Linked DNA regions of Rhinolophus ferrumequinum. The protein of the gene in region 1 binds, or shares a complex with, the protein of each later gene. Links are inferred from orthologs where the notes say so. Each region holds a gene or a part of one and is shown on either strand. Other genes may lie near its edges.

Region 1 (16,515 bases):
ATCCAGAGGGGTTGATTCCAGCACTTACACCCTTAACCTCCTTGTTGTACTGTCGCTCAATACGACTCTAAAATTATTTTATTCACATGTATCCCAACTCTTTTCAGAAAGAGTTTGTACAGTTTACTATGAAGAACATATATACAATTAAGTTAATTAAATTGGTAATGAAAAGGGAAAACAAAAATTAACAACACGAGAAACAAATACAGATGCTTGAAACATGCAACGAATCCAGCTCTAAAGCATCTGTCGTTTTCTATTATGGCTTTGAATGATGTATTACCTTCGGACTCTTAAAAGGACCAAAGTCAAGTATTAAATAATAATCAACTTTTAATCTTGCTTCTTTACATTCTTATTTGAAGCTTTCTTAAGGAGAGTTGATCTTGCATCTAGTATTTTGTTCACCAAAACCTAAATGTGAATTTTTCCTTATACCGTTTGTCATATGATTAAGTCAGGTGTCAGACCCCAAACTTGTGTAATATGTTCTATATTGCCAAAGCAAAAGCAATCCTGGAGGACTTAACGTCCACACTAAAAATTAAATGTATATTTGTAACCCTTCCTGTAATGTCTATCATTTCGTGTACATTTTTTAATGAAAAATTCTCATTGGGTGCACAAGATTTATCACATATACAAAATTAAGGAGAATTTATGGAGTTATCAGGAAAATTAATCCACTTTCCCCTCAGATACCTAAGTAATTAAGACAAAAAAATTCAGACAATTACCATTCCTGGCCATTTCAAATGGTATTTTTCCTTTAGTTAATTCCTTCTTTGTCCTATCAGATTTTTTTCTAATTACAGAATCACTACCTGTTAATTGTAAAAATAAGGACATGTAATATAATATAGAAAAGTGTAAGGAAGAAAAGTAAAAAAGTCACCCACATACCCATCCAACTACTCTGAGATAACTAGTAAACATTTTGGTGAGTATTCTTCCCTGCAATTCATTTTGTACAGACATGCACAAACATGTAGTTTTACATGCATATGTTACTGCAAATACCCTGCCCTTTTTCTTTCTTTCATTTTCTCCTTCCAATGTGGACAATCAAAAAAGGCATATACAAAACTCACGATATTTAACTGTTTTACAAAAATGAGATCTCGTTATATACATTTTTCTAAACTTTGCCTTTCTCATTTAAGATACACAATGGAAAACATTTTAGGATATATTTGGAAATCCTTTCAACTCACCGGTATGGATTTTAACTCCTACTTTTAATTGATCTAAAAAACATTCCATAATATGCCTATGCTATAATTTATATATCAACACTCAAGTTGACAGGCAATCCCTTCGTTTTTAGATTTTTGCTACTACAAATACTGCTGGAACAACATTCATGTAAAAATCCTTTACTAACAGGTACTTTTATTTCTAGGGAAAAGATTCCATAAAGGGGGATTGCTGGATGGAAGAATATGGATTTTCAATACTAACAGATACCGTTTGATTGTTTTCTAAAAATGCTGTAATTATTTACATCCCCACTAGCATCTAATGAGGAAATCTTTTACTGCACATCACTGCTAGCAGGTTTATCACTTAATTTTTCCAAGTCAAAAAAGAATATTTTATTATTATTACATTGACCACTAGTGAGATTACATATCTTTTCATAAGTTTGTTGTCTGGATTTCTCTTCTGTGAAGTTCTGGTCATATGTTTTATCCATGTTTCGATCGTGCGGACTTTTTCTTCTCAGTAATAGTTCTTTACAAATGTTAACTTGTTATTTGTTATACATATTTCAAACAATTTTTTCAATCTACATTTTGTCTTTTATTTTTGCCATTGAAAAATTCTTCATTTCTATGTAGTCTCACATATTTACTTTTATGACTTTTAGATTTCCCATCTTGGTTTAAAAGGCCACATCGCTACATCTAGATTGCATGTATAAAGAAATTTAGGAGATTCATATTTTAAATGTTTTATTGTTTATATTTAAGCTTTTCATCATCTGAAATTGGTTTCTGCATATGCTATAGAAAGTACTGACTCAATTTTATTTTCTTCTAGCAGACAAGTTGTGTCAGTTTACTATATATATATATATATATATATATATATGTACCTTTATTTCCCATTGAATTAAAATATCACTGTCATGAATTCAATTCCTTTACATGCTTGAATTTACTTCTGCTTTTTAAAATTCTGCTGCACTTACATAAGCCTAAAAATATATCGTACCTATAAAATTAAAAAACTTGTTCAGTTACCTGGATAAGTCAAAACATTTTCACCTAAGATATCCAAGTAATTAAGAAGAAATCATTATGCAAATGTCCTAATGCTCCACAACAAATTAGAAAAATTTTGTTGCCCAAAGGAATGACTATTAACTGTAGAAAAATCAAATATACACGTTATAATTATAAATTTTAAATCTTTCTTTAATCTCCTAATCTTGAGATAATTACTTTTTTATTAATTTCCTTCCATCTTTTCAAATATTTGAAAATATTTGAAATAGTGATTGTACATACAATCACTACCATATATAGTTCTTTATCATGCCCTTTCCTCAATTTTGTAAGTATTTTCTAATTTAGTCTTCTCCATTTTTCTTTTAAGTAAACACTTTACAAAATTAAACTAAGAAATATCTAAAACAAAGTCTGGTTGTTTTTCATTGCTCAAGCACATCTGGAGCTCTTCTGCATCTTATCATGTATTACCCATTGTATTTTCAATGAAATAAGCTTACTTATTTTTCAGAAAAGAAACCAAACACGGGATGCTGTAGGTATAATTTTTTAAAAGGTTTATCACTGAAAGAACAATCGTTTCTACAGGTAGTATTAAGATTAAAAGTGAAAATGTTCTTGTAGTAAGCTAGTCATAATATTGATACCAAAAAAATAGCAAAAAAAATCATAGGTTAATTCTGAAAACACCTATGAAATACCATCAATTTGTAAAAACTGACTAACTGCACTTGTGAAATTTATTAAATAGAGCTAAGTATGAACAAATATAAAGGGGAGTCCCAAATAATCATTAGGTAAATTTATTCACAGTAACTAATTTTAAAGACTAGTTTAATAGTTTCTGGTAAAAATAAAGATTTATGACCATGAAAATATACATCTATTTCAGCTGTCTTTATAAATACACACACTTTATCCATCTATATTATATATGTTATGTTTACTATGTACATAATATATACTATATGTAAAATAATATTTATATGAACCAAAGTCACAATATTAAAAAAAGAGAATAGTAAAACTTAAAGTTTCTACAGAAAGAAATTAAATAGAAAACTTTGACCACAATTTATTTCACTATAATAGAGACCTTGATATTAAAGAGCATATTCAATAATCTCTTAATAAAATCTTTTGTTAGAACAAATGAGTAATAATTTTTTTCAGGATTAAGGTGAAACATAAACTCATGATAGCTATACTTCAATTACTGTTTAATTTACTGATATTTTCCAATACAAAACCACTAATCCTGTGATTCATCTCACTCTAGAAGGGAAAAATTTTATTCTAGTTTAATAAAATAAACTAGAATAGTTTTTGCTATGTCTGCATTTGTTCTCTACATTCCTATGTCTACTTCATATGAAAATAAGATATAAAAACATTTAAAAAAAAGTATGTATCACCTAAGAACAAAATCTGACTAACTGCACTTGTGAAATTTATTAAATTCACAATAAGTTAATAAATTATTAAATTTTAATAATTTAATATTAATTTAATAATTAATAAAAGTATTTATTTTTTTATTATAGTAGTACACTATAATACACTATACACTCAAGAATAGTGTGGTTTAAAAGGCCACATCGCTACATCTAGATTGCATGTATAAAGAAATTTAGGAGATTCATATTTTAAATGTTTTATTGTTTATATTTAACAATAAATATAGTGTACCACTATCACACTCAAGAAATTTAAAACTGGTTTATTATTACTTAATAAACAGTCCATATACCAAATTCAAAACAAAAAAAAATTTAATTAAAAGGCAAAAATTTTAAACATAAGCGTAAACTCAATAGTTCCTGTTCTACAGGTTTGTACAATTTTAATATATTTCTATAATCCATTGTAGGGATAATAATTTAGAAATAGCACAACTACCTCCTTATATTGATTCTACATACTAATGATCCTAAGCTTTGGAAAATCTTTTTATAGAAAATATTGTCACTGCAGTTGCCAAAATAATGGGCTTTATACTGGTATTTATCAGCTCCTAATATAAATGTTTTAGAATCTTTGCTAAGGTACACTTTTCTTGCTCCTCTATTTTTTTGTAATAGCCTCATTTCAAATTCTACTCCTTTCTTCATGCCCTAACCCTGTTAACTCAATTTTATAGGATGTCTTAAGTCTCCCTAAGTCTCCTTTACAAAGTATGTACTAAGTCTTCTGCATTCATGATCTAATCTAATAGTACTTAGGGGATAGATTTAAACATGAGGAAATTTAACCTTAGATTAAGTAAACTGTCCAAGGTCAGAAAGCTTAAGTGGTAGGGCCAGAACTTGAACCCAGGTCTATGATTGGGAAATCTATTCTGGTCAAATCTGTACTACATTGCTTTACATTTAAATACCACTTAGCTTTTAAATTAGGTTATCTATAGTTTAACCTTACTTGAATTCACAATACCCTTAAAAGGAAGGTTCTAAAGAATAAAACCCAAAGCTCCCACCCCAACTTAAAAGAGCATGTAACTAAAGTGGCAGAGCTGAATGATGGTCCTTTGACTTTCAGTCTAGTGCTAGCTATATCACTTGGTGCCTGTACAGAGCCATTTTTTCATTAAGTACAAGTCACTCCCCTTCCTTTCAATATCATCCAGATATGTTGTAAACATATATGTAAACACGTTATGAAAATAAGTTGGTCACCGCATTAATAAAGTCCATCTGAGGTTTATATCTATTCTATGGACCATGATTTGGATGGTTATTATTATCCATTTATATTAGAAAGCTAATACTTTGTGCAAAACCATAGGAGAAGCTGTGATCTTCAAGAGCTTTAAAAGTAGTTTAACCTCCTGCTCCAACTGTCAAACACTCATTCAATAAACAATTTACTGAGTACCTATCAGGTACTTTAGCATCCTGGTGCTGAAGACAACAGTAAAGACACTGTCCTTTAACTCCTAGGAGCTTTAGGGTTTACTAAGGAACAGCCCAGAAAAGAGTAATTAAATACAATGTCCTAAAAGTGGAAAGAGGAACAGAAAATATTGTGTAGTAGTCTAATGGACTGAGTGGCTTTCTGCACATAGGGAAAGAAAGCACTCTTGGAGGTGGTGATAATCTATACAGGCAGTAAAATATAAGACCTCAGAGTAAGCACACAAGAGATACCGGGGACCCTAACACAAAAACCCTTGTATACCGTTTAATATTGGACTACAGCACAACTCCCTAATGAGTGTTAACATTTCTACATGGAATAGTCATAAACTAATGAAGCTAGTCTAAAAAATGGCTTCGAAGCTTCAAATTATTTGTGTGTGTGCATGCGTGTGTAAATTGTATATAATGTCAAACCTTTTTTCATATTTAACTTTAATAGCAATTTAGTCACCAATTACTGCTGCTAATCTTCCAGATTTCATTAGTGGTCTAAGTTACAGCTTTCATAAGTTCCCGAAAATTGGGGGAATTGTTAAGTAAAACTGCGGAGTCATTCAACCTCTTTCATACTGACACCTCTCCCCCACCCCCCCAAAGTACTCACTGCTTTTCAGCTGGTTTTCTCTTTCCCATTTTGGTCTCACCCAGACAAGACTGGTTTGAACCTATAAGACACTTAAGCAATTTATCTAATTTGGTGGAATGTCACTGCAGGAGGGGAAATCTTGTTAAATTGCTATTACTCTAGAATTTAACTTTTTGTTCCCCTTAACAAAATAAGACCAGTTTATTGTAGAGAAGTTGGAAGATACAGAAAAACAGAAATAAGTCACATCCACCACTCAAAGATGATTCCATCTTTCTCATTTTTCAGCTGTCTTTTTAATGAATTCTTCAACTACACTGGTTAGAAAACTACAAGGTTTAACTGAGAATATGACTTTTCAGAGTAAAAAATTATATTTTAAAATCAAATTTGTAATTTCTGCCAGACCTTTCAATTCAAAAGAACCAAGGGACTTTCTAAGTTTGCAGTATAAATAAAAGAGTTTAAACACCAAACTGAAAAACACTCTTCCGTAAAGCACATTGTTTGGGGTCAAAACATTGGTTACATTGCAAACCAAATGGAAAGAAGTGCAATGGGTTGGGCAAAAACCTGAGCAAAATAATTTCTGTATTTTCACAAAATACTATTCATCAAAACTTGAAGACGTCACCTGAAGTTTTACAAATGGGGAAAGCTAAGGAGGGACACAAGCACTACTTAAATTTACCAATGGTCAAGGAATTGACTGGGAGTAGCAATTAAGTGGGACTTTAAGGGAAAATGGCAAAAGATGTCAAAGGCATAAAATATGAAGTCAGCAATATCTCGACTTAACCTCCTTTTCCTTTAAGTATATGGTCAAACACATTTGGTTTAATCATACGCGTATGAGCCCAATTCGTTTCTGAAGAATTAGTTCCCTTTCAGTGAAAGCTAGTCACTTTTCCATAAGCTAGTTTGGGTCTCTTGCACATCACGGCACCGCAACACCATCTTTAAACGCCTCCCCATTCAATCGAGACTGTCGTATTAACACCTCCAGTTTTAAAGCTAGTACATCTTTATCCTTTCAACTATCCTCTCCATTACTGCACCACAAAATCAAAGAAAAGGCCTGCTTTCACCTTTCCAGTCCCACCCAAAGCGTGTGAACAGCTATGGAACGCCTCTCTCAAAGATATGAGATAAAAAGTCAGAATTACTGAGAAAGCACGTTTGGAAGCAGGCTTTACAGTGACTCCGCAGGGAGAGCGACATCAGTGTCATTCTCTCCCAAGCCAGTCTCACGGGAGACGCCCGTGCCTCCAGGGTTTTTCTTACCTTCCCGCTCCCCAGCCCCAACCTGAAGGTAAAGACCAGGGCCTCTGCCAAAGAATGGGCTTTGGGGATTGGGTCCTGGAGGCTATTGCAGACCCCGAGGAATGGCTGAACCAATCCCACCACCCGAAACCCCAAAGACTCCGAATAGGGAACCAAATGGCCACACCCAATCCCAACCCTGAGAAAAGTGGACATCTCAACCCCAAGTTGCGGGGGTTAAAACAGTGGTTGGAGCGGGGGGTCTGGAGAACTGAGCTCCTAGCCGATGCAACATGACAGCGGGGAGGAAGGCCGGATAAGCGGAGGCCGCCGTTCACACCTTCCCTATCTTCCTCCTCCCACCCCTCTCTTCCACCAGCCGCCAGTTACCCGTCGCCGCTCACCTGCCAGTGCGCGAGGTGCAGAAACTGTACAGATCACGGACCCACAGGCTCTGTCACTGAGGGAGGGGAAGTCTTCAGCTGCAGTGGCGGGGCGGGCCTGGGCAGTCACGTGATCCTGAGCTCCGCCCTGCCGTGGCCTGCCCGGCGCGCTACATATTGAAGATCATTTTTCCGTATTGTTTGAACATTAGTTTAGTGCGATTAAATTTTAAGAAAAAAAAAAAACTCTCACAAAGATTATGGTGTAAAGTGCAACGTAGAAAACGTGAGTGGAACGGGTTAAAAAAAAAAAAATGCATTGCTAAGGAAGTGACGTTAACACCATGCTCCAGGGACCGGAAATGGCGATGAAGTTCCGACCCTCTGGCGCCCGCCGCTAAAATCCCAGGCTTGAAGGTTTGGGGCTATCATGTGATCTCAAAAGTTGAAACGTGTTGGACGGAAGCCAAATTACCCAGCCAATTGTTAATTACGTTTATTTGTCTTAAAAACACCTCATTTACTTGAGTTTTCCACAGACATTTTACTTTTAGAACACCCAACTTTATAAGATCTTACTAGGAGACAGCAGCATTTGAAGGTCATTAGGGAGACTACCAACCGGGAAGAACACGGTCGGAAGAGACTGACGTGGGAGAAGTAAGGGAGGGGTGGAAAAATCCAGATTTTACCGCCAGGGCCTATCGGGCCAGCCCCACAAATAGTGTCGTAAGGGATGGGAGGAGGAAGATGACGCCAGACGGCACAGCCCAGGAAAAAGATGGAGGTACTGAAGCGGAGGGGGAAGGGTGCGCGGAGGCCAGCAATGCGGCTGCGCGGAGGCGGCCGGCGCGCCGGCGCGCAGAGGGGGCGGGGTGAAAGGTCACAGCGCGGCGGCGGGTCTGGCTGGCGGCAGCGGCGGCGGCGGCGGGCGGGAGCCGAGTGCCGGGTGTGCACGTGTGGAGAAGCGGCGGCATCAGTGCGGCGGGCGGGACACACTCCCGCCCCCTCCGGAGACGCAGGGCCGCTCTCCACTCTCGCGGCCTCCGTCACCCGCTCAGCTCCCTACCTTAGGCGGGGAGGCCGGCGTGTGGAGGGGTTGAGTGGCCCGAGCTCGGGGCGCTGAGAGCTCAGGGCGGCGACGACTACGGCGTTGATATCGGTGGTAACAACGGCCTCAGCAGGCAGGGAAGATGAAAGGGTGAGGAAGGGCAGCCAGCAGGCACGGCCGGCGGGGGAGAGGGGTTGCGAAGGAGGGGAGAGAGTGGGAGAAGACCCGGCGGAGGGAGATTTCTGGGCTTCTCTGCTTCCCGAGGGGGCGGAGGCTCGGCTCGGGCAGTTGGCGGGCTGAAGGTCCAACAGAGGCAGGACCCGGAGAACCCAGGATTTCGGCCAAGAGGACGAGTGTGTGTGGAGTGGAGACAAGCAGCTGAGTGGGGCAGCAGGGAAAAGCTTGTGTGAGGCTCCCGGGGTCTCCGGCCCGGGAACGGAGTGCTGAGGCACCCCCGGCCCGCCACTCCAAGTCTAGTGGTCTGGTTGTCCTCTTCAGATCTAGTAGGCGCCACACTGGGAACCTTGGTGTTTTGTCACCTTTCAGTTTTATTCACACTTGAGAGCCGTGCAGAATCTTCTGGAGGGAGAAGGAATTGGAATAAAGAGCAAGGAGATGAGTATTAACAGCTAGTGACTCAACTGGATTTGGGTTGGGTCAGAGCGAGTGGAGGAGGGGGAGAGAGCGTGAGCACTGTAGACTTGGGGTGCCAAAATGTTTAAGGAAGTCTTGTTGATCAGTAGGTGGAGCTCTTGCTCCGGTAGTTTAGTGTTGCCCCGGTGTTGTGAGGGGGTCCTTAGTTACTACGAAGCTTTCTTTAGGTGATTGGCACAGTTAGTCTTCGTGCACAGTTTCCCTCTTGGATAAATTAGGGATTATTTTGGTCCGCTGTTTCCACTTGGATAAGATATCACCTTCCTATTAAATTACATACTGTTAAAATATTAATTACATAACACGTGTTTTAAAATATTGCCTAAATTGGTCGTTTGGGAGCTCGCCTTTTCTCTCCTTACAGGAAGAAAAGGAATCTTATCAATGCTAAAAGCTTTCTGAGATGCCTGAGTTTTTTTCTATTATAGCAAGTCAGTTAAAGAATTGTAACTATGTTTTGAGTTAATGAAGCCTTTCAAAGTATTCAGCAACCCTTTTGAGGATGAAATAAAAGTCAGGCCTCAAAGTAATCTCATAGTGCCTAAAACACGGGTCTAAATATTATCTCGGTGTGTTTATGTGTTTGAGGTCGCAGAAGAGGTCCAACAGTATAATTTGGCCTTAGCTCTGTAACATGATTTCTTTGATTTTGCCTTAAGTATTGGGAATTCATTTTAATATTAAATCGTATGTCTTGTAATTAATGTTTCGAAATCATGAAGAAATTTTCACAATGCCTGCATTATTTCGCATCAAGTTCTAAAAGAGTTCCAATCAGGATACCAACTGAGGGGTATGAGAATAATTTGCTGCCCTTTAATCATGACTTACTAGGAAGCTTGGCTATTTTATATATGATCAACTATAATTTAGCAAAATTGTTTTCTTGAGTATGGGTGCTGTCTCATTAATTTATGTATTCTCTCGGGCATTCAGTACTAAATTGTCTTGTTCCGTTAAAGTAATAAAAATGAAGCTGAAGAGTTCCCAGTGTTGGGACTGCATGGATTTATAGAGGAGAGCAGAGCCTCCAAGAAATTATTCTGTATGTTTAGATCCAAAATCTTTGGTTTAGCTCAGTCTCACTAGGGTATAATGTTCTTTTTGATTCCTAACTTGGCATTAGAAATGAGGTCAAACTGGTGGTATTATTCACATCTACCTTCAGTTAATATACTCGTGAGGTAATTATCTTTTTATTTAAAATGGTTATTTATGTGTAGCAAGTTGATGGAGGCACATCCCCAGAAATGAGTCAAATTAGAGGAACTGGCCATATTTAGAGGAAATTTGTCGTTATTGAATCTATGCCATCAACTATGCCTGAAGTGAAGAATCCTTAAGTCTAGTTCTATCACTTTCTAATATTGGGAGTTTAAAATTACGTTCTTAACGGTAAATTTTTAAGATGATTTCACAGGAATAATCCCTTTTAACTTCACAGATGAACTAATTCCCAGGTAAGATGGGATTTAATTTTTTTTCCCCCACTTCTAAGTCTTGTATTTAAGACACTGGGCAAAAGAAGACAATACACATTATTTAAAAGATTTTAAGGTCCTCAAGTTCAAAGACTTGTATCACTATGAACAATGTGGTTAGTGTTACAGTCCTGACTTGATTTGGAAAGGTCTGTGAAAATGAAACAGTGGCCCTGATTATAGGGTTTGTGTATGAAATTTTATTTGCTTAAGTGTTGTGTATTAAGTTAACCGAACTATAAGTGGAATAGAAATATCTGAAATCGGTAACAAATGCAGAACTCCCAACTCTAAATCAGAGTACTATTTAAATATTTTACATCCTTGCCTATATCGCCTATCCTTTTGAAGCTTTTTAGAGTCACTCTTTTACCTGGTTTTTCTTCATATTTTTACTTAGTTTTTATTATTAGCAGTAGGGCATTTCATTGTTGCATACATTTAAATGCATGGTTTAGAAATTTGAGGTATGTTACTTCCTTTGTACTGAGGTTGCTTGTTTTTATGAACCAGGAACATTGTAGGTTGAATATGTGGATTAGGTAAGCTGAATATTTTTATCTATTGTTTCTCTTTAGGGAAGATGATGTTCAAGCAAGAAGGTGTGCCATACACAGCTGTGACTGAGATGGCAATGTAATTAGTTAATATAATAGAAAGTAAAACTGAATCCATTTACCCTTTGTTTATAGTAAAGAGGTATAGTAAAAATTAGACCTAACAAAAAATGGCAAACAAGATCTGAACAGATGTGTACAAAATAAAGATGGGAAAGTAGGCAGCAAAAATATATATGTAGCATGTAGAACAGTGTAGTTTACTAATTGAAATATTAAAATATAAGATCCTTCAGTCAGAAACGAATCTCTGTTGAAGTCAGAGTAATGGTTCCCTCTGGTAGCTTATGGCCTGGGAAGGGACACAAGGCTGTTTTTGAAGTGATGTGAATATTCTTTGTCTTTACTTGGGTGTTGATTACATAGCTGTACACAGATGTAAAAAAATCAGTGAGCTGTAAACAAGATTTGTGCTCTTTATCATATGTGTCTTACACTGCAATAAAACAGGATTTTTTAAAAAGGTTTTGTTGCTGGTTTTGTCAGGAAAAAACAAAAAACAAAGCCAGCAAGGCTGAAGTAGAATTCAGGAACTTTTGTAAAGCTGCAATTCATACTTGCTCCTGTGAAGCCAATAATTTGTGGGATGTTGATTGAGATACTGGATTTTAACAAATGTTTTGTAATGTCCCCTTGTTATGTTGAGATGAATCCATATAAAATATAACCTATCTGTATCATAAATTTTATTAAAAATCAATATAATGTCCTAACTCATAAAGGAAAAATAAAAGGAAACTAAACTATATCTGTTTCAGTAGCAATGATCAGGTACAACTATACCATAAATCATAAGAAGATCAGATGTTTGCATTTGTCTGTAAATGGAATCATTGTATAATTTAAAAAGTATCTGCTAACAGTATAGATATGTACATTGGTGACTAATGCTGTGTTGACATCAGTGTTGTGATTTCTTCACCAAATTGTGGACAACTGTTGGTAAAGTTCAAAAATTTCTGGGTTGGAAAAATATTTTTAACGGCCATCCATATAAAGCATTATCTTTCAAAGCCAGTGCTTTTGCCAGACCAAACTAATATCTATTAAATTTCACTTTGCTACATCCTCTATTTTGGCCTTTTGGAAATCCTTTGACTCCTCCTTATTTTCTCTTCTAGATTATTAGCTATGGTTTCCAGCTTTGTGTCATCTGAAAAGATACACTGTCTCAATTATTTAAATGGTTGTCCTTTTTTTCTTTTTTAAGCACAGTCTGCAGAAACCATTAGAACATTAGTAGTAATCAATGGAAACTTCCTTTTCATCATAGAAATAAGAATTGTGTGGATTGTAGTTTTAATAACCACAAAATTATGTAATTGTGCCATCATGGAACACTGCTTGACCTGTTCTCTTCCATCATCTCCTATTTGCATTCATTCAGTGCCTAACATATAAATGTTAGTCCTGTCCAGTACAGTAGTGACTAGTTACAGTTGAGCAGTTGAAATGTGGCTTGTGTTACTGAGGAACTGAATTTTAAAAACTGATACTAAAGTTAGTTGTTGGACGGTTTTTAAGTATGTTTGGAACAACTTGGATATGTGGACCTACTGTAAATTTTATGAAATGTAAATACAGATCAAATATTTCCAATGAAAATTAGCATTTGAATTCAGATGTGCTGTAAATGTGATAACCACTAGATTTTAAGACTTGGTATGAAGAAAGATTTAAGGAAAAGTGAAATAGTCATTAATTTTTTTTTTGATTATACGTGAAAATTTCACCTGTGTCTTTTTGGTTTGTTGATGTGGATACTAGAAAATTAGAAATTACATATGTGGCTCAAATTATATTTCTATTGGACAGTGCTGTGCTAGACCCTGAAAAAAAATTTTGTGTGAAACATGATCTCTTCCTTTAGGATCTAGTTCCTAGATGTAAATGTTTCTAAATGTTTCTACTGTGGTCCAAAAGATAGTGTGTGGCTGGCTGTTTATACCTCTGTGGTAAAGGATTCTGAGGCTACTCTTATTTATTTAGTTAGTTTAGTTTGGCTTGAGTTGCTTTTATACTTGAGTATTGTTCAGTATCAGTGTTACAAAGAAAGCTGATTAAAAGAATAATGATTGGTTAGAGATGGAACAACAGTAGAATAGGATGATTTGTTTTGGAGAGTCTTAGAGTGAATCTTATTGATACAGTGTATGCAGCTTAGATCCAAATAATAGCAGGAAATAAAGTATGTATCTTTATAATCACATTTTCTTTGGATATTGTTGAAAAGTTCTGCTTACTATAGTTATTTTATAGTTATTTACAGGATTTAAAGCTAAAGTAATGTAATTGCTTGGGGAAATAATTTTTTTCCAGCTTTATTGAGATACAATTGATATATAACACTGTGTAGGTTACTGGTTTTAAATAAAAATATTGTGACTCTTGTCTGCCATGGATGGGGAAGGGATAATTGGAAGTATGTATTTGCTTTTCCTGATCTAGTGCAACCTATATTCTGCCTCTCATTGCTGAAGCTGTTCTTAAGGAAAAAAAAACACCTTGTTTTCCAAGTCCAGAGGCTTCTCCACTCTCAGTCCTCGATAGTGCTGAAGTGAATGCGTATTTGTAAAACAACTTGACATATATCCTTAATTATTTCTTTTGGATATTTCCCTAGAAGTGAATGTTTTTGGATCAGAAAATACTGGCATTTATAAAGCTCTGGTATTGGTTGCCAAGTTGACTCCAGAAAGATAGTAGCAATTTATGCTGCCAGCAGTGTATGAGTGCCCTCTTCTCCAAGAGCTGATGGAGAAGGGGAGTGGCACTTGTAAAAACCTTAAGGAAATGGAGGAAGACATTGTGGCTGCCATCTCAGCTTCAGTGGTATAAATTACCTTTGTCTGGGATGAGTGGCATACATTGAGCATTTGTAAAATGACAAGTCACTAATAGTTTCTTTACAAATTGGTTTTGAGTACATATTCGCATATAGCTTTAACTCAAAGTTTTACTTTACTGATTAGGTAATAAATGGTATTTCCTTTTTTTTTTTTAACTTGGACGTTTCCTATGTGCAGTGGCCATGTTTTGTGTTTTTTATTTTATTTTATTTTATTTTTAAATCTTTGTGACTAACCTGTTGCGTATAACTTAACCAGTTTTTAATTTGGATATTGATTGCTTTTTTACTTGAAATTAAAAAACAAAGATAATGTTCTTTAGAAAATGGGTTGAGACATTAAAATTAGTAAATATTGTCAGAATGATGCCAGTTTAGGACTCAAATTATTAGAAAGAAAATTTTTTACAGGTGGAACTTCTTAAACTCCGGTAAGCTAGGAAAATAATTTTGTATTTAGGGGCATTTTAAATATTTCTCATTTCTCTTTCCAGATTACTAAGGTATATTTAAAGATGTATTTGGATTTCACCCCTCTAGTCTGTACAGTTTATTATTTGTAGCATTTATCTTCGTAAAGGAGACATACCATAATGCAAAAAGCAATGGCCTAAAAGCAACCACGTTTTATATTTTATAGTTCAGTGTGTCACTAATGATAGTTAGCAGTAGGGTCACTAACCAGTTTCTTGACCTGGGCCTTAGTTTCTTTAAAAAGGATAGTTTCTTTAAAGTTTCTTAAAAGTTTCTTTAAAAAGGATAGCTTGAACCTAAACAAGAACAACCAAATATTCTAAATCGTGTGGTAGTTGTAATCTGTTGATGGTATCTTACCAGTATTTAATCTGTTGATAGTTTCGTGACTGCTGTGATGTGTGTCACAGCTTTGCCATCCCTGGTCTCTGTCAGCTCTCACTTTCTATGATACCAAGAAACAGAACTTTGGAATCATACTTGAATTGTTCTCTTTAAGCTGCTTTCTTCATTTTGCTCTTGTGTCAGCCTTTTGAGACTGGATCTCCCATCCTGCCCCTCATGGCACTTTTAGTTTTGTTTATAGCTGCCTAATTTGTGTTGTCTACTGTTAAGTGCCTACTATGCTGCCAGGCAATAGATCTCATTTAATCGTCACAGTGGCACTAAGATAGCCATACATTGTCTAATATATCAATAGGAATAGAAAATATATAGTCTACTAATGAAAAAACAGATACAGAGGTGAGCCAAGAAGGAAGAGACTTTGGTGGGTTCTTGGATTTTTGAGTAGTTTTATATGGCAAAAAGATCGGGAAGGGAGGGAAGGCTAGGTCAGTGGCCACAGCCAGTAAAGGGCTTTATATATAGTACTATTTGAATTTGACTTGGTAGGTTATGTGTAGCTATTGAAAAATTTTAAGCAGAGAAATACAGTGATCAGATTTGTGTTTTAGAAAGATTATTCTGACTGCATTGTGATGGCTTTCCCTGGCTCTAGCCTTACTCCTCTTCATTAGCCTGTAGATTTTGGAATGATATGATGGCGTGACCAATACTGCTAAAAAGCTGTAGGAACATTATGAAGATATTTGGGGAGCAGAATTAACATGGATTAAAATGAGACATAAGAGTACATCTAAAAGTAAATTTCTGTATTGCATGAAGAGAATATTTGTAAAGATAGAAAATAGAGGTAGATATTCTAATTTCCTATAGAGAATGATGAGTTCGGGTTTTGATGTGGAATTTGAGATTACTGTAGAGATAATCAGTAACCAGTTGGAAATGTGTGCTTGGATTCAGAGATTTGGAAGTGAAAACATCAACATTTAGGTGATAGTAAGGGAAAAGCCAGAACTGGGAAGGAGCTCTCCTAATTGAACACATGGATGGATGGCCATGGAAAAATTTTCAAAGAACAATTTTATTCTTTCTAGGTTATAACCCTGAGTAGATTTTGTCCTGTGTGTTTAGCACTTCTAGTACCCAACCAAATAATTGCTGAAAATTTTACACACCTGATACTTGCAGTCACACGGTGTGGAGAGCTGACCCACCTACCACTGTTTTTTTGATACCTGTTAACCCTCTAAAATAGTGACTCTCAACCAAGGGCACACCTCCTACTCCACCCCAGAAATCTGGTAACGCCTGGAGACATTTTTGGTTATCACAGTGGGGTGGGGTGGGTACTGGCATCTAGTGGGTAGAAGCCAGAGAGAGATGCTGCTAAACATCCTACAGTGCTCTGGAAAGCCCTCCACAAGAAAGAATTACCCAGCCCAAGATGTCAATAGTACCAAGATTGAGGTGGCCGGATTGCTCAGTTGGTTAGAGCGCGTGCTCTTAACAACAAGGTTGCCAGTTCGATTCCCGTATGGGATGGTGGATTGCGCCCCCTGCACCTAGATTGAAGGACAGTGACTTGACTTGGAGCTGATGGGTCCTGGAAAAAACACACTGTTACCCAATAAAATTTTTTAAAAAGGAAAAAAAAAATA
Region 2 (16,362 bases), on another chromosome or scaffold:
CTCTAGCACCATTTTCCAGAACAAGGTTCATTTAAAGAGGAGGAATCAGGAGAAGCCAGAGACACACACTAATAAAAAGTTTCACACTTACTGTCAGTTCCTTCATGGTAATGTTCAAATACTGGCAAAGTAACACCTGTTCAACAGAAAAAGTCAAGAGATTGTCTGGACTTGTAACTGGTTTCAAGGAATGAATTTAGGATCCAGCCTTAAGTGTTCATTCCTATTCAAAAATCAAATTATCCTGCGTAATGAGGGATCTGGCTGTTACGGCGGTTTTTCTTTCCTTTCAGCTTTGAGGTATACTTAATCTACAAAAGATTGCACATATTAATGTATACATCTTGATGAGTTTGGACATATGCATACACCCATGACACCACCACCACATTCAAGGTAATAAACATATCCATCATCTCCAAAAGATTTTTTTGTGTCCCTTTTTGTGTGTGTGTGTGTGTGTGTGTGTGTGTGTGTGTGTTTTAAGAACACTCACATAAGATCTACCCCCTTAACAAGTTTTCAAGTGCACAACACATATTATTCTGTTGGCACTGTACAGTATAGCATATCTCTACAATGCATTCATCTTGTATAACTATAATTTTATATCCACTGAACTCCCTGATTCCCCGACCTCAATCCCATGGCAACCACCAGTTACAATGAATTTAACATGTAAAGCCAATCAACTTGTCCTAAGTAGAAAAGATTAACTGGGATATCAAGATCTTTCTGTAAAAACAGGTTAATGTTAAAATGTTATCTTTTCTCCCACAATGGTCCCTTAGGGTAGAAAAGTTACCTGCTACATTATCTTTCTTCGCTCGAATCTTCACTTGGGCTTTATTTACATTTTGGATAACCGTGGTGCTGCAGGGGGGAAAAAGGCCTTAATTTAGGTTGAGTTTTTAGAGTGAGGAAATAAAACGGACCCATCGGGTAATTTCAACAAGAGTGAGATGTCACAAGTATGTTTTGATAATTGTCTTTTTCCAGAAAAGGAAAACAAGCACTGCTTCCAGAGGAAGGCCTCAGAGAGCAAAGAATGAACAATATTCAAAACATTAACCATAAGAAAACAACACAGAATGATTTTAAAATACATGGATTGCTTGAGTTTTCAGTCAGACATGTAGTACACAGATGTGACTTGAAGGATTCTTATTCTGCTAATGTAATTTGGAGGAAATTTTCCTCACTTCTAGGTTTGGCTAAGCAAGTATTCAATTCCTTTATCCTGGAACTATCTAACTTCCATCTGGCTTTGTCTGATTCTCCATCTATTATTATCATAAAAGTGTTTTCCCCCAAACCATCATAAAACACATTCACATACCACTTACACACTATTCCCTCCCTCTGCTGCAAAAGTCAATGCAAGTTGTTATCCTACTGACACTGACAAAAACTAAAGTCTGTCTACTACTTCAAAAGGCCTTGTGCCCTCCTACTGACCTCCCACCAGGTCATTCTCCTAGATAACACAAACTGAGAATGAAGGCATTATGTCACTGGGTAAAGAAACCCCTGAAAAAAACAACTTCCACCTCTGCCCCTAAATAGCCGTGACTCAGGAAGGCACTGGACTTAAAATAACAGTAATAGTGCTTACCTTGTCTACCTCACAGGCTTATTTGGAGAATTACATAACATGTAAACTGATGAAACTCCTTTGTAAAGCAATAACTAAACCATTTTGTATGCTTTGTAAAGCATATACTGATATGACAAAAGCCATATAATTCATGCCCTTTAAACAACCAATTCCATTCTCAAAATTTATCCTAAGGAAATAATTCAATAGAAACAAAAATATATATGCATGAAAATGTTCATGGTACCTTTTCTGATATTCCAAAAATCTGAAAATCATCCCAAATGTCCACTATTAGGAGAAAATTTTAATAAATGATGGTACATCTAGAGAAAGATTATGCAGCTAAGTGAAAACAAGGAAAAACATTCATAATACAATGTTAAATGAAAACGGACTATGAAATATTCAGTATCCTGTGCATGCAACTCTAACAGATACATGTGGGTAGTAAGAAAGACAGTAGTGTTAAGAAGATGGGGTTAAAAATGTTCTTCCTTATTATTACAGTATATCAGTTGTCTTTAAAGCTTATACATGTTTAAATTTAAAATGGCTTTTAAATGCAAGTATGAAGATGAAAGAACTTTGATTTTTTAAAACATCCTATTTAGTCTTCTTACCTGAAGTCCCCTGCTGTGAACTTGGCCTCAGCAAGTGAAAAGGCAGCTTCTCTCATCACTTCACCCATTAACATTTTAGTCTGTAAAAGCATAAACCAACAGCTAGTTCAACTAAGTTTTTTACAAGAAAAACATCATGTCATAATTGTATTCCTTTAATAACCATCAGTATTTTATATCAGATGTGCATGTAAATATCACTGTGATAATGATAAAACACAATAAAAATTTCCAAATTTCAACAGTTTTGATTATGGTTACTAACAATGTTGCAAAACCATGAGTTTTATAATCAAAACATCAAAATAAAGGCACTAAGAAATAGAAAACTGAACCTTTACTGCAGGTACTGTTATTCCTGAATGGGCCCATGGTGATTTGCTCAAATTAATGTCCTTAATTCACTCACTGCAATGCAGTCAAAATCCTAATAGCATAGTGATTCTAAAATAAATCTGGAATATTTAATGTGTAAGAATATCCATTAATTTTTTGAAAGAAAAGAAACACTAGGACAGGTTGGGCAGAGAGTTATCTTACCAAGTATTAAAAATGTACAGCTCCAATAAGGAAATAAATCTGGTCAGATAAGTCAATAAAATGGAATGGAGAGGTCAGAAACAGCCCCAGATCTGTATGGGAATTTGGTAATGTATAGAAATCATTTAACTGGCCATTTACTTACAAAATGACAAAGTTAAATCCCTACCCCCTCACATCACACCAAAAAAAAAAAAATCAGAACGTATTAAAGATAATTATTTTTAAAGCTATAAAGTAACAAAAGAAAATATAGTAGAACATGATCCTAATCTTTTTAGGCCTTTCTAAGCATTGTATGTAACCCAAAAGTTATATAAAAGACGAAGAGATTTGACCAAATAAAAATTAAGATAACATTTTTTTTAAAGTTAAAAGATAAGCAAAAGACTTGGAGACAATATTTTTAGCATTTTATATACTAACTTGAAATATATAGAACTTCTACAAAAAAGTAAATTCACCAAGAAAATCAAATTACCCGTAAGCACAACAAGATGCTCAACCTCACAAAAAATCAATAGTGCAAATTAAAATAAGATACCAATTTTAGCCCGACAAATTGGCAACAAAAAAAAATTAAGAGGAAGGAGTTTGGATTTTATTGTATTAAGCTATGTGCAACTTGGTACTTTATAATGGTTATTTTTACTTTTGAAAGAAAAAAAATTCATTAAAATAACTTAAAGGAAAATTAAAATGTCAACAAGCCATGTTGGATTTTCCTGAGATATTTCTAAAATAAATACTGTTCTAAGCAGAGTTCACTCTACCTCTATGATCTTCTTTAGGATCTGTCGAAATCGAAGAGTTAAGGCATCAGATTTCTTCTTTAGGAGATTTCGACCTGTCTGTGCTCCTTTTAATCGAGCCTTCATGATGGTCTGTGCCCTATATAAACAGTTAAAGGCATTTACTCCCCTTGTTTAACAGAAATAAAAATACCTGCCCAATACAATGTTAAAATTATGCTTTGTTCTTTGATGTCACGAGAATAAGAATATATATAGCCTTTGTACCTGACAGGCTTCACTGATTTCTCAATACCGTGGAATTCCACTCTCAGTGTTTCATAAATGAGAAGGTTATTTAAAACAGAAACAATTTTTTAATCAATATATGGAATAAGTATTTATTAAATTATAATAAAATCTATCATGAGCCCTATTTTATGATGTCGGCATAGTTTACTTATTTGATGTGTAAGTTAAAACAACACCTGTATTTCCATTAGAGGCATATTAAAGATTTAAAAAATAATCTGTCCACTAATATATATTAAAATTTGAAATGTTCTTACCTTCAGGACCAACAATTCCACTTTGAGGAATTTATCCTACAGATTTACTCCTGCATGTGTACAAAAACAATACACGGTGTATTCCAGCCTTATTTGTAATAGCTAAAGAGTGGATACATGTTAAAAGTTCCATAAATCATGGTTCATTATAAAATGGATATGCAGCCATAAAAAAAGAGGAAGGCAGATCTCCATGTGCTCTTTCTATTATATTTATTGTCTTAGCTATGCAAAGTAAGGGGTAAATATGCTTACACAGATACAGAGACCTGTTCTCGAAAGGATTCACAGAAACTGCTAACAGTTTCCTTTGAGAAAGGGGGCTGACTGAGAAAAAATAGATTTGCTTTTTATTATATTGTTTTGTACCTTTGGCATTTTATTCCACAGCCAGTTACTACTTTTTCTGTTAAAAGTGTGGCATTAAACACCTGGAGATTTTTTTTTATTGGAAGGAACATCTAATAAGACACTCTCCAACCTCACTGGAAGGGACCTTATCAGGCACCTGACTGCGAAGAGTCATTTACTCCTGTCTACGGAAATCAGACTCCTCAAGGACGAGAAACCACCGACACCAGAGGTAGACAGCTGTCCCAAGTCACTGACAAGGCCTGTGTACCTACAGATAGATGCTGAACTCAGAATCAGTTCTGTTTGAGTGTATTTACCTGTTTGCTAATGAAATGAGAGCCATAATAATAGTTATACTTGTTTTTTGGGTTTTTCTATATAGTCCAACTATTTATGATTCCTCAACAAGTATAACTTAATACTTTTCATGGATTATGTAAATGTTATTTTAAAGAGCAGGGCATTATAGTATTTTTGATATCAGTCAAGACTCTACTACCAATCATTTTATTAATTTGCAAATGACTTGATATAACAAATTAGGTAACAAATGACTTTAGGTAACTTGTCAATGACATATATAAGTAATGACTCCTGAGAAGTGACAAGAAACTCATATCTCCTTACCTCCTTATTTCAGTCTTTCCCATCAGAAACCCCAATACCAAAGTCGAGAAAGCAACAGCAGAAATTGACATTTCTCTTCTTGCTACCATATGCCAGATAAAATTTAATAATGGGGGGGAAAAATGGGTAATAAGATTCAACAATAGATCGTGTAACATAAATACTTAAAGTGATTTGTTTAAAGAGATTTAATTTCATACGACTAGTGTTACAACCAACTGCAAAACAGTACATATTAATGGACTTTTTGGCTAAATTCTTAGATTATATTGAAATCTTTTACCACTGGGCAAAGGTTACTGAGATAATTCTATAGCTGGAAAGGACTTCAGACATTATCCTGAAAGTTAGGAAAATGAGGCTCAGAAAAGTGAAACAACTTTGCCACAGCTACTTAGTGAAGAAAAGGCAGAGCAGAACTTGAACCGGATTTTTGACTCCAGTGATTGCCCAAGGCTCATACTAAGGCTCAAACTTAAGTCCACTGTACCCCAACATGCCACACTGCCTCCCCTACAGATTAAAAATACCATCAGATGAATAGTTGTCTCTCTAGCTGTCAGTGACTGACTCTGCACTGACTGGACCAAGTGAAGCTGGTTCAGTTTCCAGCCTAAGCAGGAGCTAGCCACCCCAATGTGTACATTTAAACACACCGTATTGTTGACACTAACCACCAGAATTTGGGCTCAAGGAGTCGAATCAAATTTAAGTCTAACCCTAGTACTGCAGATTCCAGCAAGTTCATAGTAAAAAGGCAAACTGGTTGATGAAATTGAATTTAACATGCTAATTTTGATTTTCTCCTAGGTAATGGCATCTCTGCGAAATAGGTCAATTTTCATTCTTGAGACTTGAAGAAAAACAACTTGACATACTATACTTACAGCCCTTGTAAGTATAACCTGGATTTGACTGACTTCTGTTGACTCTATTTGATTCCCCCCTAAACTTGTTTTGCTCTCTCTGGTGCCTAAGGAGGTGTCAGCCTCATTTCACAGGATAACACTGGAACTGTCTGAAACAGAAGTCACTAATGTATTTTCTAGCCTAGCTCTTAAAACATCTGTTCTTTCACAAGTTTCAGAACTGCTAAATCCTACTGAAAAGTGTTTGACCTTCAGCTAGGATAATAACTTTGTTTCCAGCTGAATCAAAGACATCTGACTGCATGACAAAGTACCTGCTGCTAAGCCTCTGGAAAATATTTAGAGAAGCAGAAAATATTTAGAGAAGCGGGTTACTTCCTGCACCTGATTTTCCTCTCAAACAGCAAGCTGAGTGCACTCAAATAGCAATTTCCACCTTCACAAACCTATCATTCTTCTTGTCTAAGGCCAAATAAATTTATTTTCACCTCTCAGTCTCCAAGTGAAAACAAAAAACTGTTAACATTCTGACTACAAACACAGCCAAATATTAGTTAAAGCGTTGAAAACAGGTTTTATTCAGTAACCACTGACAGTAGGGGGAAAAGAACTGCACTCCATTCCAATTTGTGCAGAGAAGACTGGGCATGTTAAAGGAAGAGTGAGGGAGGGGAGCTAGAAGGCACTCAAGGGGAGTCAGAAGTGAAAAATTACGAAGGGTTGGTCAGTGGAAACGGGATTAGGCCAGCTGTGTCCACTAGCTGGCCATTATGGAAGGTAGGATTCCTTCCTCCCACAGAGAATGGGAGATGAAGGCCCTATCCTTCCTGATGACTACATTTCAAAGAAATCGTTTTCAGGTCCTTGAGAAAGACACTTCTAAATTGTAGGAGAGGTATATACATCTCAAAGGGAAAATGAAGAATTCATAATTGTAAGTCCTTTTCAGTAAATGCCCTAAGAAAGGGGCCTATCGTCAGGTGTTGGCTAGAACAGTAACTTCTGACAGCAGCTGAGCTTTCTCAGGCAGACATATTACTGGAGGCTGGGTCATCCTAAGAACACAGCTTAAGCTTCCTAGAAGCAACGCTGGAGTTTGGCTGTCTCTGGTGCAGAGGTCTGGCAGGACTCAATCATTAAGGGCTGGAAATTCTGCAGTTCTCACTACCCCAGGGTAGTCCTGACCCTTATCTATTTTACAGGCATTACCTTTCTCCACTACTGCCTTGATTCCCACCTACTACAAACTGCTATTAGAAAGTCAGTAGGTAAAGTTAAAAAATAAACCAAAAGCCCAAACCCCTTCATTTAATTAATAGCTGTAGCCACGTAGGCAGAGACAGAAATTAAGGTTTGGGCTTTGAATATACTTCTTTCATTTTAAAAGTCCTCAGATTCTCTGAGAAAAAGGTCAGCATGAAGAAAAACAACAATACTCCCAAAGAGATAGGACCACAATCAAAAGATCTAAATGTCAGAGCCAAAACTGATTTTCTGCTCTTCACTGGGGGAAATAAAAAAGAGGAAAAAGGAGGAGGGGGCAAATAAGAACAATCTTTTCTTTCCACACATTGTTAGGTACATTTGAGAAAACCTCAAAATATTCTTTAGAGACTTTCTCTTTAGAGAAAACCTCAAAATATTCTTCAAACACCTAGGGCGACATGCTATTTCTCCTGCCAAAAAATTCAGTCCAAAAACGAAAGACAGCCCACGTCGGAGCAGATTCCAAGACAAGAGTTCATTCAAGGAACATTTTTTTTGTGGACAGTCTATGGAATCATGATCAAGACGCTCCGATCCTGCAGAAACCTCACAGTCCAGGGGGAAAGGCATGTAAACAAATACTATTCATTTTTACAAAGTGATTAATGGGTGATATTAACAGAGGTCTGAACAAGGTGCACGGTGGTAAGAGAGCAAAAGAAGTGCCTGAGAAACTGAGGGGTATCTTCCCACCGCAGGTGACATTTCATGAGATCTTGGAAAATAAGGGGATCCACGATTGAATCTAACGTCTACGCTACAGCATTTCGATTCAACCCCCATATGGCTTAGAAGTCTCTTCTATACACTTCCCCCTGCAGAAAACTTCCCTTCTCGATCCATTTATCAAACCTCGTTGGCTTATCCATCTCTCCGCTAAATTGAGTTCTGGTCAGGGCACGAGTGGTGACGATTCGGTTACATACATCCAGTGCCCGGTTCAATAGGGAGTGTGGAATGAATGGCTCGATTGAAGAGTAAAGTCAGCGGACCTCCACAAAAGCCAGCAGGCCGGGTGTCTGTTCCTATGGGCTGGGACCAGTCTGGTTCACTCAGAGGAATGTGTGAGGGGGCCGTCACAGAGCCTCGCCCTAAACTCACGAAGAGAGACTGGGAAGCTCAGGATCCGCCCAGAAAACCAGGAACCTCGCTGCTGGTCCCGGGTACGAAGGAACCGCGGCTCGGACCCGGCGTTCCTGAGCCTATGACGGATGCTCGTCCCGTTCTTTTACTTACATTCGCGAAGGAAAGATTTCAATTCGATCTTTGCCCGACATTCTGACGATGACTCTGTGGCTCGGGTCCCCGGCCGGGCAATCGTAGCTGCAACAGACCCAGCCACAGCGTCTTCCTTTACCGGAGTCAGCTGGCTGTGTCACTTGACACCCCGCGCGTTGCTAAGAGGCAGCTGGGATATGCACCCGCCACTTCCGCTTCCTGTTGGTACGTGGGTTTGGGGGTGGGCGTGGGAGGAGGGAAAAAGGCCTAAAGCCGGCGATGCCCGGATGTTCAGGCGCGCGCACCACCCAACGGCACCTCAATTCCGGTCAGCTTCCTAGCCCCTCCCGCTCCAGCTCCCCGGCGGCTGCGCAAGGCTCTGCGCGTGGGACGAGAGAACGAGAGAGAAGAGTATACTCTTTCTCTTCCTGCGCTTGTCATTTTTGGTCACAGCGCCACCTCATGGTTGGCAGAAGCTTTGAGAGAGGATTTATTCTTCAGGAACAAAGAATGAGAGTTCTACTTCTCCCTGCGCCTTGAAGGGTTACTTACCGACAACTAACGGTAGCGAAAAAAACGTACTTTTCAGGTTCTCCTGGGATCTTCCTTCTTCCTTGTTCCCGGAGGACCCGGACTCTATGGTCAGTGACGAAGAGGGCCTCTATTCTGTTGGCGCTTGCGTGAGACGAGGTGGTTCCGCATGCGCGGTAGGGTTGAGCGAAGCGCACGCTGAGGAGGATCGGCGGCTGCTGCGGGTGGATCAAGTCTGATCTCTCGGATTAAAGAGCGCGGCGCGGGACCCCACTGCGGGATCCACAGACATACCTCGGGTAACTAGTCCCCTAGATCGGTTTCTCGAAGAACTCACTTTGGTTGTGTGTAGTGACATGGGTGGTCGAGAGAGGGTAGGCCCCGGGCTAACACCTCTCCCGTCCCTGGGCGAGAAGTGTCTGGACACCACCGACACCCCTGGCGGGCTCCGTGTCGGTCTTCCCGAGTTGCAGGTGGCGTTGTACGAGCGGAGGCACCTCGTGAAGGAAAATGGGCCAAGTGACTGTACAGCCTCTTCAATATGCTTAAAGTTGAGGACTCCTTGCGGTGGGGCGGCCTCGGGAGAACGCTGTGACACTCCTGCACCAGGGCCGAGCGCTGCTCCTTCCCGGCCTGAGAATTCCATCCATCGTTTTTTTGGTTTTGTTTTTTGTTTTTTCCTCTTGCGCTCCAGCAAATACTACCTCTCCGTGGAAACCAGACCGTACACTGCAAGGGACCAGTAGGATGGATCACAGTGTTGACAAAAGCTGTCTCACAAAGGGCCCAAGAGCAGTTTATTCGATACTTTATTTTTAAAAATTGAAGTTCGTTTTACCTTAGCGCTCGAGTTGGGCATTTCTGTGGAATGAGTCACTCCTTGAATTGAAACTAAAACATACTTTTAAAGAGTTTATTACGCTTCGCGTCGGTTTGCTGTATTTCAGCACCGGTGAGAACAGACTTGTAGTATTACATGGTGTGGTCTTACAGTTATGCAAAACTGAAAAGATGGGGGAATTTTGGGGTTAAATACTAATATTCAGCCTGAGGTCTTTTTTGTTACCCCCCCCCCAAAACTTAGGCTACTTTAATGTTGATTAAACAGGAAACATTGTTTCTTGGAGAAAAGATGTAACAGAAAAGTCTGTTTTTTCTCCCGATTGAAGTTGTTATTTAAGGGAAAAAAGTTGTAACTCTGTCTTTCAACGGTGTGGAAATTACTTATATGAGTAGAACTTTACTGCCAATTCTCAGTTCATCTGATGCCAAATGACAATTACTAATTCTCAAAACATCTCAAAAAGGTGCACAGTAATGTTTGTAGATATTGGTGTTTCCTATTTCAACTACAGTGAAATAGTTTGAAAGCTTTGTTGTGTAGCACTCCTATACTAAAAACTAGGATGCAGAGAGCTTAAGTGTTAGAGCTTAATTACAGTTATTGCAAGAATTGTTTCTATCACATAATGCTTTACTTTGGAAAGGGATGTGGATTTCCTGTATCCATTGTGGTGACTTGACCATGCGCTGGTTGTTTTTTTGCTGGTTGTTTTTTTTGTTTTTTTTTTTAATTGGGGACTATTGGGAAACTGTGTTTCTCCAGGGCCCATCAGCTCCAAGTCATTGTCCTTCAATCTGATTGTGGAGGGTGCAGCTCAGCTCCAAGTCCAGCCATGGTTTTCAATCTTTGGTTGCAGGGGGAGCAGCCCACCATCCCATGAGGGAATTGAACCCGCAACCCTGTTTTTCAGAGCTCCTGCTCTGACCAACTGAGTCATCCAGCCACCCCAGACCATGCACTGGTTTAAGAAAGAAGTCCTACCTACCATCTGACAAGGCAAAATTACTGACAATGCAGGTTATTTGAAATTAACTTGGAGTTCAGTTAGTGTATTCTGAAAAATAGGTGTTCTTTACCAAAGAACACATACTGCATTGTAGTACTCTGACATATTGAGGCTCTGAGGGTTAAAAATATTCTGTATTTAATGTCAGAAGACTTGGTTTTAGTTCCTGTTCTCATACTTAAAGATTTGTCCTTAAGGAAGTCACTTAATTCTGGTCCTTGGTTCCCAGTTAATTGATCATTTCACTGTGTTCCTTTCATAATACCTTATATTGCAATTATTTGCTTATTAGTTTGTTTCCCAGTCTTTACTTAAATTTTTTAGGTAGTAGTCTTAATTGTATCAGTAGTGCTTAGTGCATAGTAGATACTAAAAAATGATTTTTTAACAAATCAAGTAACAAATGGAAATAATACTTCCTTTGCCTTTTAATTTCTTATATTTGTGTAGCACATTATACTTTCTAACTGTTTTTACATGCATTTTTGTTTCATGTGATGCTCTCCACAAATCTGTGAGGTACATGCCACAGACTAGAAACTACACTTCAATGGGAATACATTTCCCAAGCAACCACAGCTACGTAGTCAGAGCCAGGACTGGTACCCACATCTATAGCTATTCCCAAAGTTCACTGAGTCTTGACGAGGACTTACTGAGAGCCAAATAAAATAAGTCAAAGTGCTTTGAAAGTTATATAAATGGCCAATGTATACCTAGCTTGTGGCTTCTATTTTCCTGACTGATTTTTTAAAAGTTAGTGTAATTATTACCATAAATAAAGAGATATGTTCAAAATCTATCAATCAACAGGCAGGTTGTTTGTGAAATGTATTCTTTTTGTACTTACCGGCTATTTTCTGTCTTTACTGTAAATAACATCAGCAGTATTCCTTTATTTACCCTACATATTACAAAGAGACTTATACTTCCTAAAGCTGTAACATTTATAGCTCCCTACAGGGTTCTTTTACACTATTGTCTGTTTTCTTTAACCATCAAATTAAGCCTGCCTTCCCCAAAATCATCAGCTTTACTATTTGAAGAAACTTGATAAGTAAATGTGGTTAACACATGTTAAAGCTCTTAAAACTATTTCACACATTTTCATGGCATCATTTATTTTGATACTCAGTTTAAAACATTTTTAGCTCTCAAATTTTAGTACTTTACAGATATTCGACGAGCTTTTTTTTTTAAAAAAAAGCCCTGTTTAAAAATGAAACAACCAGCTCAGCTGTTTCTTGGTGGGTCATTCTGGCCATTGTCTACTTTCCTTTATTTGCTAAATTTCTATTTTGTCAAGCTACAAGAGAAATACATCTCTGTCACTGTTACTAATACGCTGCTTTATTTTATTTTATTTTATTTTATTTTTTGGTTAAACAGGATAGATTAGTACTGAAAGTTTTCACTAACTGTGGTATTCATTGCTCCAGCATTGGATATGTATGTTAATGTTGCTTTTTGTTTAAGATTTTCTGATTGTAATATATTTATAATATTGAGAGAAAATATAGCCTGATGAATAGTACACTATGGTTCTTCATAGGTTCAAATTCTGACACTATCACTTTTTAGCAGTATATAACAGAACAAGTTGCTTAACCTGTGCTTCATTTTCTTCAAATATAAAATGGGGAGAACTAGGGAGAAAGTGGTACCTCAGGGAGACAGGCAGTGGCCAGATCATATAAGACCCTGTAGGTCATAAAAAGATGTATAAATCAGAAGCCACTGGGAAGTTACATACGGATGCAGTTAGCAGTTCTCAAATCACACTGCAGCAGAATTCCAGGGTTCTGTGAACTGGGTGTGGATGTTTTATCTTTATTTCCCAATTATTAAGAAAAAAATAAGTTAGTGATTTTTCACAAATTTTTCATAGGCCTTTAGATCCTATTGCCTGTCTTCTGAGCTTTGACAACAGTAAACTGGTTACGGTTAGCAGAAAAACATGAAAATCATCAACTATGATTAGTTTGAGAGCTTCCCTTTAAAAATATATTTCTACTTATGGTATGATTTCAGGATTGTGGATCATAAAAGGAGTGGTGCTGAAAGTAGGTTGGGTGGATCAAAGGGAATAGTTTTAAATATATATATACTTGGCAGTTAAGAGAAACTTGAACTTTATAGTAATGTAGATCTATAAAGCTATTCTCAAGATTTAGTATACTTATTCAACAAAAGAAAAGAATATTTGGGAGTAATGGGAAAAGTAGAAACTAGAAATTATGGTAATTGTGAATTAAATTCAAGTTTGTTTTAAGAGGGGGAAAAAAATCTGAGAATACGTTTTGGTTAAATTTAATACCTTTCCTGATTAATAAACTTTTAGTTTTTGTCCTGTCATATGATACTGTAATTTTGGCTATACTTACTTATAGGGTGTATCCTTTAATATATGGTTAGGGTTTAAGTAATCAGAAGATTCTTCCCTTTATGTAATGGGTAGTAGCATTACAGTCCTAGCTGATTTGGAGAAAGAACAGCTTTAGAATTTTCTGATAGGTTTATAATAGTAGTGATGCTTCCCATCATTTGTTATTTCTTGAAGTGGTGGTATTAAAATGGTATTTTACTCTTAAGGTGTACCTTTAATCTTTAGGTCTCAGAGGTTAGTTGTACTTTATAGATGGTCATTACTTTTTATGATTCCTCTGAAACTGATGGTAGAGAATCATCCAAGCCTTACAAAAGTGTGGAGCAAAATAAAAATTAAAGCTTGGTTCCTGAACATTATCTGTTTTCTGATACCATTTAAGAAGTTTAAAGAGGTGAGAAGACTAACAACTGCTCACCTTCTGGCAAGATGTAGAAAATGGACATTTCTTTATTTTGACTTTAACTGAGCACTTACTTTATTCTTTTGTTTAAATTTCAGAATGCCGGGTCTAAGTTGTAGATTTTATCAACACAAATTTCCTGAGGTGGAAGATGTAGTGATGGTGAATGTAAGGTCCATTGCTGAAATGGGGGCTTATGTCAGCCTTCTGGAATACAACAATATCGAAGGCATGATTCTTCTTAGTGAGTTGTCCAGAAGGCGTATTCGTTCTATAAACAAACTCATCCGAATTGGCAGGAATGAATGTGTGGTTGTCATTAGAGTGGACAAAGAAAAAGGTAAGTGAGAAAAGTATCTAAAATACAAATTTCAGATTTAAATTGGTTTACAGTAAAATATATTATTTGTAAATTGCCTACGGCCGTAAAAAAACAAACTCCTCCTTTTATACCTAAACTCTTTTACGTACAAAGTTGTTAGAGAAGGATGCCAATTAGCCATCTAAGCAAGATCTCTTAGTAATGGTTTAATTAGTGCATCCCAGGACTAGTTTTTATTATTGGTCAGATAACTTGAATTTTATTTCCAGAGGAATTTTCCATTTAATATTTTCAGGCCATGGTAATTAAACAATTTATAAGTTTTAAATTGCATGGCAGTCTGGGTAACATGGTGAAATCTCTCATTGTCCTGCCCAGGACATGAATCATCCCTTTGTCCAGCGTGTCCACACTATATACTGCCTGCCCATTAGTCACCTGGTTATCATCTCAGTTATCAGATTGACTGTTAAGATATTACAGTGCCTGTGTTCCGATAACCCTTATTTTACTTAATAATGTCCCCAATGTACAAAGTAGTGATGCTGGCATTTGGATGTACCAAAGAGAAGCCATAAAGTGCTTCCTTTAAGTGAAATGGAATGTATGGATAGGGAAAAAAATATTCTCTGTAGGGTTCAGTATGACCCACAGTTACAGGCATCCCCCGGGAGTCTTGGAATGTACCCTGCGGATAAGGGGGGGACAACTGTGTTCCTTAAATTTGAGTAAGTCTTCATATCACTGCCCCAGAAGGACCTAGAATGGTGTCTTATCTTGCATTTCTTTTCTATTATATAAAATATATAACAAAAAGGAATCAAATATATTTTTAACTGTAATCAGAAAAAATACTTGCTTAAACACAATAGATACATATAAGAATAATTTCTATAGCTGCATTATTTGTACAGTATTAATTAAAAACAGGAAACAACAGTCAAAATCGTAAAATAAATCATGGCACATCCATGCAATGCAGTTTTATATAGAAGATCTGAATATTCTGTTGTGGAAAGATGATTGGGGTTGAGATAAGAAAAAAACCAAAGTGCAGAAGATCCCATAGAGGGGATTCATGTCTGATACTAGAAGATTAGGTCCTATTGGAAAAACCTTTAAAAATAACAGCTATAAACCCTGAACAAATATTTTTAAAACTACCTAAAGACAATGGGCATAATCAAAAGCAGGCCGAAACTAAAGGAAGAAAGGAATTTCACTGGCTAAGTTTTACAGCTTTTTGTCTGAATGAATGTTGCAGGTGGCTTCAAGCAGGGCAGCTAATGGTAGACCTACAGTCTTAATGACTTGAGAACAGTTCTGGACAGCCATAGAAGTGATAGAGATTAGAGAAAGGAGAGACACAGAGGGAGAAACCCTAAATTTATATATAAAATCTACTCAAATCTCTGGCTGACCCCTGAACTACTAATACAGAGAGGGTAGACTGCAAGCAATCCAACAGGGTAAAAATCTAAATAGATCTTGGTGGCTTTCCACTTGAAACAGAGCTTATAGTTTTGAAACCAGACAAATAACTGCCTGCTAAAACAAAATAAGTATCCTTAATAAAAACATAAAGGAATTCACAATGATCAGGATACAATCCAACTACTAAACATTTGAAGAAACAAGAAATTATGACCCATACAGAAGAGAAAAGACAATCAATGGAGAGTGACCTAGAGTATCCCTTATGTTGGAATTAGCAGATAAGGATTTTAAAGCAGATACTACAACTGCTCAAGGATATTAGATATTTTCCTAATCATTACAATCATATTTTTGCTTGTAACGAACAAAATGAAATCTCAGTAGAGAAATTAGAAACTCGCACAAAGCACTAAATATAAATTCTACAAATCAGAAATGTAATATCTAAAAAATTCACTGGGTGGGGCTAACAGATTAAAGATTACAGAAGTCTCAGTGAAACCTGAAGATAGTTCATTTAAAAAGAACCAATCTGAAGAACAGTAAAAAAGCAACCTGTCAAATATCAAAGCTCTGCTCCAAAAGAAAAGGAGAGAAAGAGCAGAAGAAATCATGGCCAAAAGTTTCTCCTATTTGCGGAAAAAACATAAATTTACAAATTGGAAAAGCTCAGCTAACCTCAAGCAGGATTAATACTAATAAGACCGCATCTAGGCACATCAGACTATTGAAAAACAGAGACAGAGAAATCTTGAAAGTAGCCAAAGGAAGATTGCACATTATTTACAGGGGAGCAGTAATACAAATTACAGTGGCATTCTTATTGGAAGGAATGGAGGTCAGCACATTGAATGACACCTTTAAAGCACTAAAAGAAAAAACTGTCAAACCAGAATTCTGTAACTGAAGAAAATATTTCAACAATAAAGATCAAAATGAGACATCTTCAGGTAAATAGAAACTAAGAGGATTTATTATCAAATAGACCTACATTATAGGAAATGGGAGAGGAAGTTGTTCAGGTCAAAGAGATGTGATG

Evidence for each region.
Region 2: the proteins of ATP6V1A (region 1) and ATP6V1D are in contact, whole or in part, in a cryo-EM structure (PDB 9B8P), measured with the Rattus norvegicus proteins. The link is inferred for Rhinolophus ferrumequinum from reciprocal best matches to the Homo sapiens genes ATP6V1A and ATP6V1D. Residues at the interface, in NP_001101788.1 of Rattus norvegicus: Ala366, Met368, Pro369, Ala370, Asp371, Ser372, Asp416, Ser418, Asp436, Lys438, Glu491, Gln494, Leu495, Val496; in NP_955418.1 of Rattus norvegicus: Lys4, Asp5, Arg6, Arg167, Ala171, Val175, Ile176, Arg179, Tyr186, Glu190, Arg194, Glu197, Tyr200, Arg201, Lys204, Ile205, Lys208.

The regions. Positions count from the first base shown.
Region 1 is NC_046285.1:40,258,397-40,274,911, reverse strand, and holds the start of ATP6V1A (V-type proton ATPase catalytic subunit A), read right to left. Parts: upstream 7,677-16,515; 5' UTR 7,409-7,676; intron 5,800-7,408; exon of another isoform or gene 5,760-5,799; intron 1-5,759. Other genes in the region: NAA50 (N-alpha-acetyltransferase 50), read left to right, coding at 8,581-8,588. UniProt on the Homo sapiens protein: Catalytic subunit of the V1 complex of vacuolar(H+)-ATPase (V-ATPase), a multisubunit enzyme composed of a peripheral complex (V1) that hydrolyzes ATP and a membrane integral complex (V0) that translocates protons.
Region 2 is NC_046289.1:29,307,607-29,323,968, reverse strand, and holds the start of ATP6V1D (V-type proton ATPase subunit D), read right to left. Parts: upstream 8,614-16,362; 5' UTR 8,454-8,613; coding exon 8,413-8,453; intron 3,652-8,412; coding exon 3,534-3,651; intron 2,301-3,533; coding exon 2,221-2,300; intron 874-2,220; coding exon 806-873; intron 137-805; coding exon 92-136; intron 1-91. Other genes in the region: EIF2S1 (eukaryotic translation initiation factor 2 subunit 1), read left to right, coding at 13,664-13,904. UniProt on the Homo sapiens protein: Subunit of the V1 complex of vacuolar(H+)-ATPase (V-ATPase), a multisubunit enzyme composed of a peripheral complex (V1) that hydrolyzes ATP and a membrane integral complex (V0) that translocates protons.